2 linked regions of the Saccharomyces cerevisiae S288C genome follow. The gene in region 1 interacts genetically with each later gene. Each region holds a gene or a part of one and is shown on either strand. Other genes may lie near its edges.

Evidence for each region. Genes that interact genetically often act in the same process or in processes that back each other up.
Region 2: of AFI1 (region 1) and CNM67, a mutation in one rescues a mutant of the other (synthetic rescue), as found in Saccharomyces cerevisiae (one study listed by BioGRID).

The regions. Positions count from the first base shown.
Region 1 is NC_001147.6:564,188-572,832, forward strand, and holds AFI1 (Afi1p), read right to left. Parts: upstream 5,372-8,645; coding exon 2,690-5,371; downstream 1-2,689. Other genes in the region: GTPase-activating protein RGA1, read left to right, coding at 1-6; phosphoribosylaminoimidazole carboxylase ADE2, read right to left, coding at 289-2,004; ORT1 (Ort1p), read right to left, coding at 5,742-6,620; YOR131C (putative haloacid dehalogenase-like hydrolase), read right to left, coding at 7,995-8,645. UniProt on the Saccharomyces cerevisiae protein: Involved in actin patch polarization. Required for maintaining a proper budding pattern in yeast cells. Required for proper polarized localization of the ADP-ribosylation factor ARF3 at the plasma membrane.
Region 2 is NC_001146.8:222,160-226,308, forward strand, and holds CNM67 (Cnm67p), read right to left. Parts: upstream 2,311-4,149; coding exon 565-2,310; downstream 1-564. Other genes in the region: JJJ1 (Jjj1p), read right to left, coding at 1-272; SQS1 (Sqs1p), read right to left, coding at 2,637-4,149. UniProt on the Saccharomyces cerevisiae protein: Involved in the pathway that organizes the shaping and sizing of the prospore membrane (PSM) during sporulation. Required for the proper formation of the spindle pole body (SPB) outer plaque.

The DNA.
Region 1 (8,645 bases):
ACGTAGCGCTATCCTCGGTTCTGCATTGAGCCGCCTTATATGAACTGTATCGAAACGTTATTTTTTTAATCGCAGACTTAAGCAGGTAATTATTCCTTGCTTCTTGTTACTGGATATGTATGTATGTATAATAAGTGATCTTATGTATGAAATTCTTAAAAAAGGACACCTGTAAGCGTTGATTTCTATGTATGAAGTCCACATTTGATGTAATCATAACAAAGCCTAAAAAATAGGTATATCATTTTATAATTATTTGCTGTACAAGTATATCAATAAACTTATATATTACTTGTTTTCTAGATAAGCTTCGTAACCGACAGTTTCTAACTTTTGTGCTTTGACAAGAACTTCTTCTTCTTGCTTTAATAAAAACTGTTCCATTTTCGTTGTATAACTTGAATCATAAGCGCCAAGCAGTCTGACAGCCAACAGCGCAGCGTTCGTACTATTATTAATAGCGACGGTAGCTACTGGAACACCTCTAGGCATTTGCACAATTGAATGTAAAGAATCTACTCCATCTAGACAAGAACCTTTTACGGGCACACCGATGACAGGAAGTGGTGTCATTGCAGCCACCATACCTGGCAAGTGAGCAGCCCCACCAGCTCCAGCGATAATTGTTTTAATTCCACGCTTGCTTGCGGAAATAGCATATGCTGACATCCTATGTGGAGTTCTATGAGCAGAGACTATTGTCACTTCAAATGGAACGCCAAAATCTTTTAAAACCGCACATGCGGCAGACATTACCGGCAAGTCAGAGTCTGATCCCATGATGATTCCAACCAATGGTTTGACCATTGCTTCCAAGTCCAACTTTTGAGCGACAGAGATTTTGATTGGAATATCAGTTCTACCTGTAATGTAGTTCAGCCTTTGTTCACATTCCGCCATACTGGAGGCAATAATATTTATGTGACCTACTTTTCTGTTAGGTCTAGACTCTTTTCCATATAAGTACACTGAGGAACCTGGAGTCGCCAATGCTCTTTCGCAAGTTTCTAGCTCTTTATCTTTTGTATGTTTGTCTCCAAGAACATTTAGCATAATGGCGTTCGTTGTAATGGTGGAGAAAGATGTGAAATTCTTTGGCATTGGCAAATCCAATATTGATCTCAAATGAGCTTCAAATTGAGAAGTGACGCAAGCATCAATGGTATAATGTCCAGAGTTGTGAGGCCTTGGGGCAATTTCGTTAATAAGCAATTCCCCTGTTTCTAAATAGAACATTTCCACACCAAATATACCACAACCGGGAAAAGATTTGATTGCATTTTCTGCCAACAACTTCGCCTTAAGTTGAACGGAGTCCGGAACTCTAGCAGGCGCATAACATAAGTCACAAATATTGTCCTTGTGGATAGTCTCTACAATTGGGTAAGAAAACACTAAACCGTTAACAGATCTCACAATCATGACTGCTAATTCTTTAGTAAATGGTGCCCATTTTTCGGCGTACAAAGGACGATCCTTCAGTACTTCCAAAGCTTCCGGAATCATTTCCTTATTCTTTACAACGAAGTTACCTCTTCCATCGTATGCCAAAGTCCTCGACTTCAAGACGAATGGAAAACCCAAATCTCTTCCAACATTCAATAGGGACGTCTCACTGGCTTGTTCCACAGGAACACTTTGGGTAACTGCTATACCATTTTTGATTAAATGCTCTTTTTGAATATATTTGTCTTGTATCAATCTGATTGTTTCTGGAGAAGGGTAAATTTTTAATTTGGGATGTTTTACTTGAAGATTCTTTAGTGTAGGAACATCAACATGCTCAATCTCAATCGTTAGCACATCACATTTTTCAGCTAGTTTTTCGATATCAAGAGGATTGGAAAAGGAGCCATTAACGTGGTCATTGGAGTTGCTTATTTGTTTGGCAGGAGAATTTTCAGCATCTAGTATTACCGTCTTAATGTTGAGCCTGTTTGCTGCCTCAACAATCATACGTCCCAATTGTCCCCCTCCTAATATACCAACTGTTCTAGAATCCATACTTGATTGTTTTGTCCGATTTTCTTGTTTTTCTTGATTGTTATAGTAGGATGTACTTAGAAGAGAGATCCAACGATTTTACGCACCAATTTATACATGAAATGCTCCATAATATTGTCCATTTAGTTCTTAATAAAAGGTCAGCAAGAGTCAATCACTTAGTATTACCCGGTTCGTAGCCATGCAACAAGAGTCATTTGTCAGCATAGCTGTAATAATCAATCATGACGTAAGAAATGTATCATAATTAAAAGTTGTTAAAGATGTCAGTGTTATGTTGGTGTTACAAAATTCTCGGCTTCTCACTAATATTTAATATCTCTTAAATTTTATCTGTCTTTGATTCTTTTAAGAAAAGTTATGTATTATTCAAGAAAAAGTCAATTCCGCATCAAAAGGTAAAATTTATATAAACTGCTTTAAAATTTCATGAAACTAGGCAACTTTTCGAAATGATCTTTTTCGAGCATGAAGTTTCTTTTATAATAACCTGGTCAAAAGCTTTCAATATATAATACATTTGGTATTTACGGAAATGAGATGATATACTGGTAGTGCGCTAGTCAAGTTCTAATTAAATTAAAATGCAAAATAGTAATGTCAGATGGACACATTGGGCGAAATAGCTAACCCATAAGCATGAATCCTGTAACTTATGTAATACGTTAATCACGATACGGCGTTACTAGTCTTCCTTTTGAGTGGTTTCTAATGTAGATTCTTGTTGTTCGTTAATTTGCTTCAAGCCGTTTAGCATTCCTGATTCGTTTGAAGATAGAGGAACAGATGCGCCAGCGAAAGATGATGATGCAATGGTAGAGGAAGTGTTGGTCGAATCTCCCTTTTTGGAAATAAAGTGTCGTTTTGATTCTAGATAGGCTTCTCGCAATTGATTGTGGAGATACTTCTTTAAAAGGGCCATACCTATGGGATGACATTCTAACCTATAGAGTAATTTCGTAATAGCATAGCAGATTTTTGACGCCCTTCTTTCTAGTAGAGGAGAAGCCCTTAGCTTGGGTGAGATGACTGAGGATGCGTTTGTAAATTCGGGATAATTGGAATTTCCAGTACCCTGCCCATTACCTCCCAGAATCCTTATATTAGGGCGTGTACTCAGTTGTAAAAACTGTCTCAATGAAGAAGATTGAGCAATTCTGGTCAAATACGTTCTTCTCCTGGACAGAGATTTTGTGAAGGGCAAATCCTGCCCACTTTCTTTTGTAATAAATGTGAGGAAAAACGCCAAGATATCAAAACTGTAAATTTGAGTAAAAAGATCTATTGCTGATACTATAACACCGTGGGGATCTTTTTCGATGCCCATATAGCTGTTAAAATTATCGAAACCCTGACGCACTTCGCTTTCAAAACTCCACCTAGAAATATTATCACCGTGTAACTGAGCTGTGGGTAATATTTTGAACGGAGAATAGTTCAAACAAGCGTTTAAAAACTTCTCAATGTTTGTCCTGCTTACCGATACCATGCGAAACAGCTCTTTAACAATGTCCAATATTTGGCTTAATTGGGAATATATTTGCTCTGTGGAAAATAACTGGCATGTGTTTCCTAAGCTAAATAAACAATTATCCAAGTTAGACAATAGTTCAATACTATGCAGTGTAAAATAATCAAAGAACTCCGGGAAAATGAAAAAATCTTTATAAAACATGATATATTCATCTTTTAGTGCTATATTAGGTGGAATTTCTCGTCTTTTCAAAGCGTCCAGAAGGTTTTCCAACTGAAGAACATTCAGCCTTCTCAAAACGCTCATGATAGTATCACTATCATGATATTCGTCGATAAGAAGAGAAAAGAGCTTCTGGCCCAAGTTTACCTGACTTTCGTTGACTGCGTTGGTTGAGAAATGAGGCCTATTGAATATCTTTCTCAAAGGGTTAGGCCCAATCTTCACTTCTGCCACTGTATCTGGCTTTTCTTTTTCTGGACTATTATTTTCATAAAACACTCCCTCATCCACATCGTAGTAATAATCCCAGATATCTAACTGGTATCGGAAAATTGGATTGGCAGTTCCGATAATTGCAAAGCATCCGACAAAATCACTATTCGATGCTACATACGCCCGCAAACCGTCAACAAGAGAAATGTCCATATAGGGAAAAATCAACGCAGCATTTCCTTTGAAGTATGATTGTGGATCGCTAGCATAAGTTGCCGTTATGTTGGCTAATGACAAAATAAAAGCGCATAGGTCTTCTTTACTCAGTTTAGTTGAATTGATGACTAACTTCCATGCATTAACTTTTTGTCCGGCTTTAAGAAGGTAAGGGACAAATTTATCCAAAAATTTTAAAACTAGTTCATTATAATCATTTTCAATATAAATAGGCTCTCTTCTAATCATATTAAATTGCAATGGGATTTTTAACAAAAATGGCGGGAGCGTCTTTGGCTGAAATCTTGTAAAATGATATTGAATGAGTTGGTCATGAAAAGTCACAATGTTACCATACTTGTCCTTAGTGTCAAATCCATTGATGCAAAAGAGTTTCTTTAAAGTGGAATCCGGGTCTAAAAATACTTTGGTAATGATAGATTCGTCATGGATAGAGTGTAGCACTTCTTGTATACTACTTTTGGAATGTATGTCATTAATCAATGTAAGGTCAATACTGTTTAGCATATTAAAGCAATCAAGCAGTATGTCTGTAGCAGCAGCTTGAGTGGGAGCTTTCATATACAAGTCTAACACTAATACAATAATATTTTTGAATGCAAAGAAGGTTTTTAATGGTGTTCCGATGGCAATCGACTTGATTACTGCCCCTCTATCGTTCGTGGTGTCTAATACTGTGTTGGCGACATTTATGAAAAATAAAGGTTCGTTGTCGATGGCTTTCTGATTATTCTGAACTTCCTGGCATTCGAGCTCATCATCTTCCAAGACAATAGTGTATCTATTATTTTTTGCATCTTGATGATTTTCGGCATCGTAATATATGCTATTGGTAACACTACCATCTGACTGTTCACGATGATGCAGATTGAAACTGAAACGAGGGTCTTTTGGCACAGGAAAGAGTTGATAGTTTTGAGTAAACTTATTGTAATAAAGGGTAAACACTGTAATATCTTGTTTGCCGGGATTTCTCTCTATGCTACTCGGTATCATTAAACTTGCCAAGTTCATAGACACCGACGTATTGCCGTTGCGTTGCTCATGTGAGAACTGATTGAAACCTGGAATATCTTTCGGGTATTGGTGCTTCAAAATAGGACCTAATTTATTATCAAATTCTGCGGATATTATATAGCTGACATTCGGCCTTTCAAAAGGAAAGGATTCATTTTCTATCGACCTGTTGCTGATAGAGTTATTTAGTTCTCTTCGCAACATCCGGTAGCCAAAAATGTTTGCGTACCAAAGACTCTAACAGTGGGCGGTACTATGCTTGATCTTGATTTTATAGAGCTTGCACTTTTATAGAAGAACCATTGCTACCTAGACAGTTTTTTTTGTTTACATTCGAATCATTTTTTTTTTTGCATTTAGTTAAATCCGAAGTCCTGACTAGATAATTTACTGTCAGAGAATAGTAGCATCTATGCAAGAAACTGGTATACAATAGTCGAGAGGTTGTTGTAAAAAACACAAAATACTAACACAAAGCCTGGCTGTTGAGATTGTGCGACATTCTTGATCAGTAAATGGTATTACAGACTGTCTATCAATGTTACATACTTGCTTATTACACGATTTATTGTATTTAAAGTGCAGAAAGAGTCTCAAAGATGTAAAAAACTGCAGCGTTTGCTGGTACTGCCCTAAAAAGGGTTATACCCAGTCCTCGATAAAAACCCTTTAGTCCAAATTTGCCAAATATCTTCTTCACCGCATTGGTGAGGCTTATATGTTCAGTTTGCATTACTGATTTCACAGTATCCGCAGGAAAAATACTGGCGTTGAATGCCAATCCAGCGCTCCCTCCACTAATAAGTAGTTCCCATATCTTACTTTCATCTCTTTTTGGGTCATCAAGGGAGTGCCTATCTTTCAACGACTTCTTAACTATTTCGTAGGTTGCAAACCAGGCAACACCACCGAAGCTTTCTCGAATAAAAGTGCCCGATTGCCCTTGCCACAATCCTGCCAATCCTCTCTCAGTTATAATTGCTTTTATTGTAGGCAACACCTTTGTATGTTTCGTTTTAGCTGATGCAACTTGTAAGTTCGCAACCTGCAACTTACACTTCACCAGCTCCACGGGTGTCAAAACTAAACTAGCACATGAACCCGCTACTCCACCAGAGATCAGGATTTGCCCCAACGGGGAAACGTTTGTATGTTTTTCTAAAAATTTAGAACATTGGTTATAAGACACAAATAATGTCGCGTTCTCCAGACATGCTCCAACTAAAGGTGAAGCAATGCCTTGAAAAAACCCTCGTGCTATTCCTTCATTTTGGTAAGTAAATTTTATACAAGACCATGTTGTTGGGAACACGTTGGATGCTTGTGTTTGCAACCTGACTTTCACAGTATCGAAAGGAAACTCGATCACCTTACCACAGGCGCCTGCAATGGAACCGTTTATTATATCGAGTATAGCGCCTTCTATTAATCCTTTCTTTTTACTGTCCTCCATTATACGTTGACCTTCCAGAATTTGAGTTCCCTATAGGTTAAAGAAAAGTTTCTACGACAAAGCATCTACGCTTTAACAATTAACTATACCCGTGCTTCGATAATTTCACACTTTTCTGAATCTATCGACGCCAGGAGCAGAGAACTTATCATTGGCGATTCTTGACGCTGCGGCCACAGCGGCCACAGCGGAAAACGTATATGTCACATTTTTCGAGCTCAAGGTGAGTCACGATGCAGAACTGGAACGTACTAGGACTAAGTTGCAACGATGAAACTACAATGCTACGCTTTCTTCGTGCTAAGTACTCATTGTATCCATTAATATGGTCCACAAAAAGGGTAGGCTGCTGTTGTGCTTCATTAAGACTGGTCAAAAACACGGATCCAGCAGCAACAGCACCTGCATGGATGGAATAGGATTGGTGCTAAATCACTTGGAATTAAACACAAGGATTTTGGTCGGCAATATTATATAAATATAGTCAGATGAGTGCTTCATTTTTGTTGATAAGTATTAATGAAGATTAAGTGTGGATAATACTGTCTTTGATACTATACATTTAATGTGACGAATTGTATGACTCGTATACATAACTACCAAAGCGTAGATCTTTAACTTATTTTCAGCACTGTCCGAAATGCTCAGTTAGCAGTTTAGTACATTCACGTTAAAACGTGTATGTTCGAATAAAAATCAACTCACTCATCGACTGATATTCATACTACTGGTATATTGTCATACGGTGTAAGAAGATGACATAAAATCGAAAAACAATGGTAAAGTATAATGGCAACTGAAATGCAAGGATTTGATAACGTCATAAAATGATGAAAAATATAAAATGGAGGGAGAAGTAACAGGTACGTAGAAATATTGGTTCCCTTTATGGATCCCTATATCATCGTGCAGAACTTCTCGTATATTCGATATACCTAAATTATAGCCCTTAACAATAATGAAATCCTAACGATTATCCCGAAAATTCACCTATTTCTCAGTATATGAAATGTACATTAACGTAAACACTCATCTTGCTACCATCATTATTTATATTGACATTAATGATCACTTGCTGCAACATTTTTTTATTTTTTCAAATCATATGAAACAAGTATTAATAAAAACACCGTTAACCCAACAATTAAAATCCGTGATAGTTTAATGGTCAGAATGGGCGCTTGTCGCGTGCCAGATCGGGGTTCAATTCCCCGTCGCGGAGATTTTTTTGCTGATTTGATGTGTTCTCGAACTTTGTGATGCCGAAAAAATCAAGGTAATTCCGCCATAGCTACTATATTAGCTCTAAAAAACATCTAAGAATAAAATGGTATTTCAATCATATGTACATATCTAAGTAAAGTTTTTTTTTTTTTAGAAACTTTCTTTATTCATATTTTGAATCAATTCAATTATTTCGGAAAGATCCTCTACTGAAACGTCTACTAGTTCTTTATGTTCGAGCAGTAAATGTCCATTCACATGATTCTTGAGTAATACCGTGAAACATCCAGCAGATCTACCGGATTTCATGTCGTCAAATGAATCTCCTACCATGATCATTTCCAAGGGCCTTATATTTAGCTTCGAGGCGATGTGTAATAATGGGTCTGGTTGCGGTTTTGTAGGCCTAAACTCCCTTGTCACAATATAGTCAAACCTCGAAAGCTCGGATGGAATAAATCTTTTAACAAAAGTCTCTACCGGGGCTCCGACATTTCTAGTACATATGTTCTTGCTAATACCATTTTTCGTCAAATACCTCATTATGTCAACCAGACCAGGCTGCGGTTGCATCTCCTTCATGGCTTTTGCCTCAACTAATTCTATTCTATCATGCGCTTCTTTTTTTTCTTTTTCTGTGGGCAATGTATCAATGAAATGAAGGATATCAATCGATTTGTCCTCCAATCCTATGGCGTTTCTCATTGCTGGAAACATCCAAGGCTGGGGTAGGCATAATGTGCCATCCATATCAAATACAACCGCTTTGATGTGTTTTAATCCCTGTAGTCCTTGTAGCTT
Region 2 (4,149 bases), on another chromosome or scaffold:
GCGTCTACCTCATAATCATAGTAATCATCAGTGCTTGGTGGAGTATCATTTAAAATTTGTTCCTTATGTGAGTCATACCATGCTCTTTCCTGGGGGTCAGACAGTACTTCATAAGCGGCTCGAATCACAGCAAATTTTTGTGTGGCTTCTTCAACATTATCTGGGTTTTTATCTGGGTGATATTGTAGGGCCTTTTTACGGTAAGCTTTTTTTAACTCAAGATCAGAAGCATGCGTTTCGACCCCTAAAAGCTCATAGTAGCAGGTCTTCATCCGTTATTTTTGAAGTAGTAGGATATCACTATACTGATATTAACTCTTGGCTGGTCAGACTTTTACTATGTAAAAAGAGCTACTTTGCGATGACTTCAAATTTTTTTCACGTATATTTTTTTTCTATTCTTAAAACAAGAAAAAGTGTAAACATAAAATGTTGGCCGCTTAAGCCCTCCAATTTTACAACAAATGAATATTTTATACATACTTCCTAGAATATAATTTAATCTTATACCTTAATTTTTAGTTACAATTACAACAATTTATCTATTGACTCCGTTAATAAAAATTACTTCACCATCTTCTCCAGGATATGATCATACAGATGGTCCAGACACCTCTCCAAATGGTGATCTATGGAATCCATCCTGCGCGTTGACATAAAATCATAGTATGCTTGATCCGTAAATTTCTTTAGATTCATTTCTTGACTATATACTTGTCTATGCAGACGTTGAGCAAAATTGGACAGCATGATGTTTTCATATTTCAATTTGATAGCCAGCAACGGAATCTTTCGCCTTAACTTTGGATAAGGAATACCAACAGCCAAAACAATTTCTTTGACAGTATTTTGTAAAGTCGTCAAATTTGCTGAATCAATTTGTTCAACCATAAGGAAATTACATTCTTCTGCCGAAATATCGGGCCTTGACTGTAAGATATTTTTTATTGTAATCCTTTCAGAAGTATTTCCCTCTAAGTTTCCAAATCGCGACCTCAAATTATCCAGTTCCTTTGATAGAGTGTTTGTTTTCTTTTCAGCATCTGCTAGCATTTTTTCTTTATCCTTCAATGATGTTTCGTATTTTTCTTTGCTTTTTTCCCATGATCCTAGTCTTTCATTCAACCTTTCCAGCTTAATTTTTATTTCCTCATTACATCCTTTCAAAATTTCCTTCTCATCGATTGTCAACTTGTCAAATTTATCACATAGTATTTTGTTCTGTTTGGAAAGGGTTTTATTTGTACCAATTAAAGTATTATTTTTTTCTCTCATGGTCTGGATTTCAATTTTTTTATTCTCTAACTCATTTCGGAGATCCTCAGCTTCTGCTTTTGCATTTTTAAATCGCTGAGAAATGCGGCTCAGCTCTTCTTGCTGTGATGCACATAAAAACCCTTTAATATTAGGATATTTTTCTTGTAATATGTGATCTAATTTTGAAGAATTTTCCTCCGAGTCATACAAATCGAAAAACAATATACCAATCGGTATTTCAAACAGCTCGGCCTTTCTTAAGGAGTCAGTGAGACTTAGTAATGCAGTGTGTTTTGTCTGAATAGTATCATTGGCTTTTTCCAACATTTCTTTATTCAGCGAAAGGTCCTTTGTTAGGTTTTCAATCAATACTGTCTGTTCTTCAATTTTTTTTTTGTTATCTAAGGTTTTGTCGTTTGACTTCGTAGCTGCTTCGAGCTCCTTTTGTAAAGAGTTTGCTCTTTCCTCTTGTCTTAGATTATCTCTACCCAATTCAATAACTTTTTTTTGATACCCCAGTATCACATTTTCTAACATTCGAAAATCCTCTTTCGATAAGGAGTTTTGTAGAAAAATTTTGGCACCGTTACAGTCTTCTATCGAGATATCTGGCGATGTATGTTCATCAGTTGGTTGAGCAGAAGCCTGTTCATTTGCCCTCGTAAAATGCTTCGAAGAGTTTTCTCTAGGAGTAGAGTGTATGAAATTGGGTACATCCTTTTTATGAACATCAGTACCTATGGGAGACTTATCTTTTTCGTTTTTTGGTCGTTCTTGTAATCCTGGAGATTCCTGATAACTAGTATTTCTAGCATAATTCATTTGATCCATAGATGGTGATTTGTTCTCTTCATATGAGTCTCTAGCATTGGAAAAGTTGCAATTGATGACATCTTCAGGGTTAACGAATAAAGGTAAGATGGATTTTCCGACATGATTTTCATTTAGCCAGTTTTGTGGGATTGGCTCTCCGTCTTTAATTTCCCCATTCTCTGATACAGGAGAATCCAAACGCTCATGAAATGGAAAATTCATTAAATCGAAATCAGTCATGATGTACAAAAGACCTGTCACTATTTACTAGTGATTATTTTTTGTATGTGTAGATTTCTTCCCGAGGAACGTTAACGTTATTAGTTGTTTTATTACTATAAACGTTCCACAAAAAATTGCCTAACGCCTCACGTCGCGCAACGCGAATTTTCACAAGAAGATGTTATTTACAGTTACGATAATTGAATTGGATATGTAACGAGAAGTTGTACCTAAAACTCCGTATGTGTATATTACCATAGATTTTTCATGGTCTAGTCTAGAAAATAAAAAAATATGTATATACGCAATTGTTAAGAAAATGAGGATTAAAAGCTTGGAAAATATTAACTTTCACTGTGTCTTAAACCCGATCTATTCTTTTTAATTTTGGCAAAAATTGGTTCACTTATACCTTTATTGCCTTGAATACCAAGGCCCTCTCCACTTTTCCACCCAAGCTTTTCCAACATTCTTCTACCGATATTTTCGTTTCCAATCTCTGGAGCGTTTTGACCAACAATCTCACCTTCTTTAACATGAAATTTCCCTCTGATTGTTTTAGTTCTTTCGAAAGCAGCTTGTTCCTCCCTCGGTCTTCTTATATCTATTCTCATGAATACTGGCCTCTGCCTCATCAATTGGTCAATGAGACTATAATTCGGAGAAGACCATTTCGTTTTCTTTATTTTTTCTACAACAACCGACGTATGATTTGCTTTCCCAATTTTTGAACTCTTCATATTATAATGCTTCGCAATTTTCATTACGGTCTTGTTTCCATGAGGATCTAATGGAGGGAAAGTCAGTCTATCATTGTTCCTAGACAAAAAGGACTCAAATTCATCTTTAATATTTTGAATATGGAGTCCATATGGGTATTTCTTGAGCATATCGTTCGAATTTCTATTCTCCTGATCAATGAAATCTTCTTTGGCTTTTCTTTTCTTTGCTTTGGTTTCTATGCGTTTACTAAACTTACTTTGTAACGTCTCCAACGTTTCTGTATCCAGCGCTAAGGCGTCATCGATGAGTAGCTTCTTCTTCTTACCTTTACCCTTAGTTTCCAAGGACTTGGTTTCAAATGTTTTGAATCTTTCTGTATCATGTTTCAATGTGTATGCAATTAGGTCGTCCAGACCCTCTTCAATGTCGCTATGCACAACCGAGGAGGCCATATCTTCATCATCTTCATAGCTGTCGCCTTCATAGCTGTCACCTTCATCACTCGAATCAGAAATCGGAATATCTGAGTAGGTTGGCTCAGCTGGTTCAATTTTTGGTATAAGAGAATTTTTAATAAAATTCAAATATGCAGGTAATCTATCTTCAGGAAGACCTAACTCGTCTACAACGAAGTCTGTGAGTAAGTCCTGGTCAATCCAATGAAAGTCGTAATCTCCCAGTAATCTGTAACACCGTAGATAATATGAATTGTCTACTCCGCCCATTCTTATATTGGAGACCACTATGTCATTAGTATTTATGACAAAATCTTCTTCTTTGAATCCAAATTCTAACTCTTCGCTAGCAGGAGATGGCAGATTATCATTATTGCCTTCGAATGTTTTGGTACCATTTATTGAAAGACATTTTATATCTTCTGTCAACTGCGGACTAGGGCTTGGTAAAAGATTGTTGTCAGCTCGGGAATTGTGACGTTGGCCAACATAATTAAACCCTTGATCAACCTCAGAACTTGCTGAGGATTCGTATAAAGGTTCACTATTATTCTCTGTTTCTATTTCGTAGTCTAGTTCATCATTGTCCGAGTCGCTAGTATGCATACCATGTAATACGTTGGAAATGTAACCAGCAAATGGATGATATGTCTTATTACCCTTATTTGGAACGTCAACA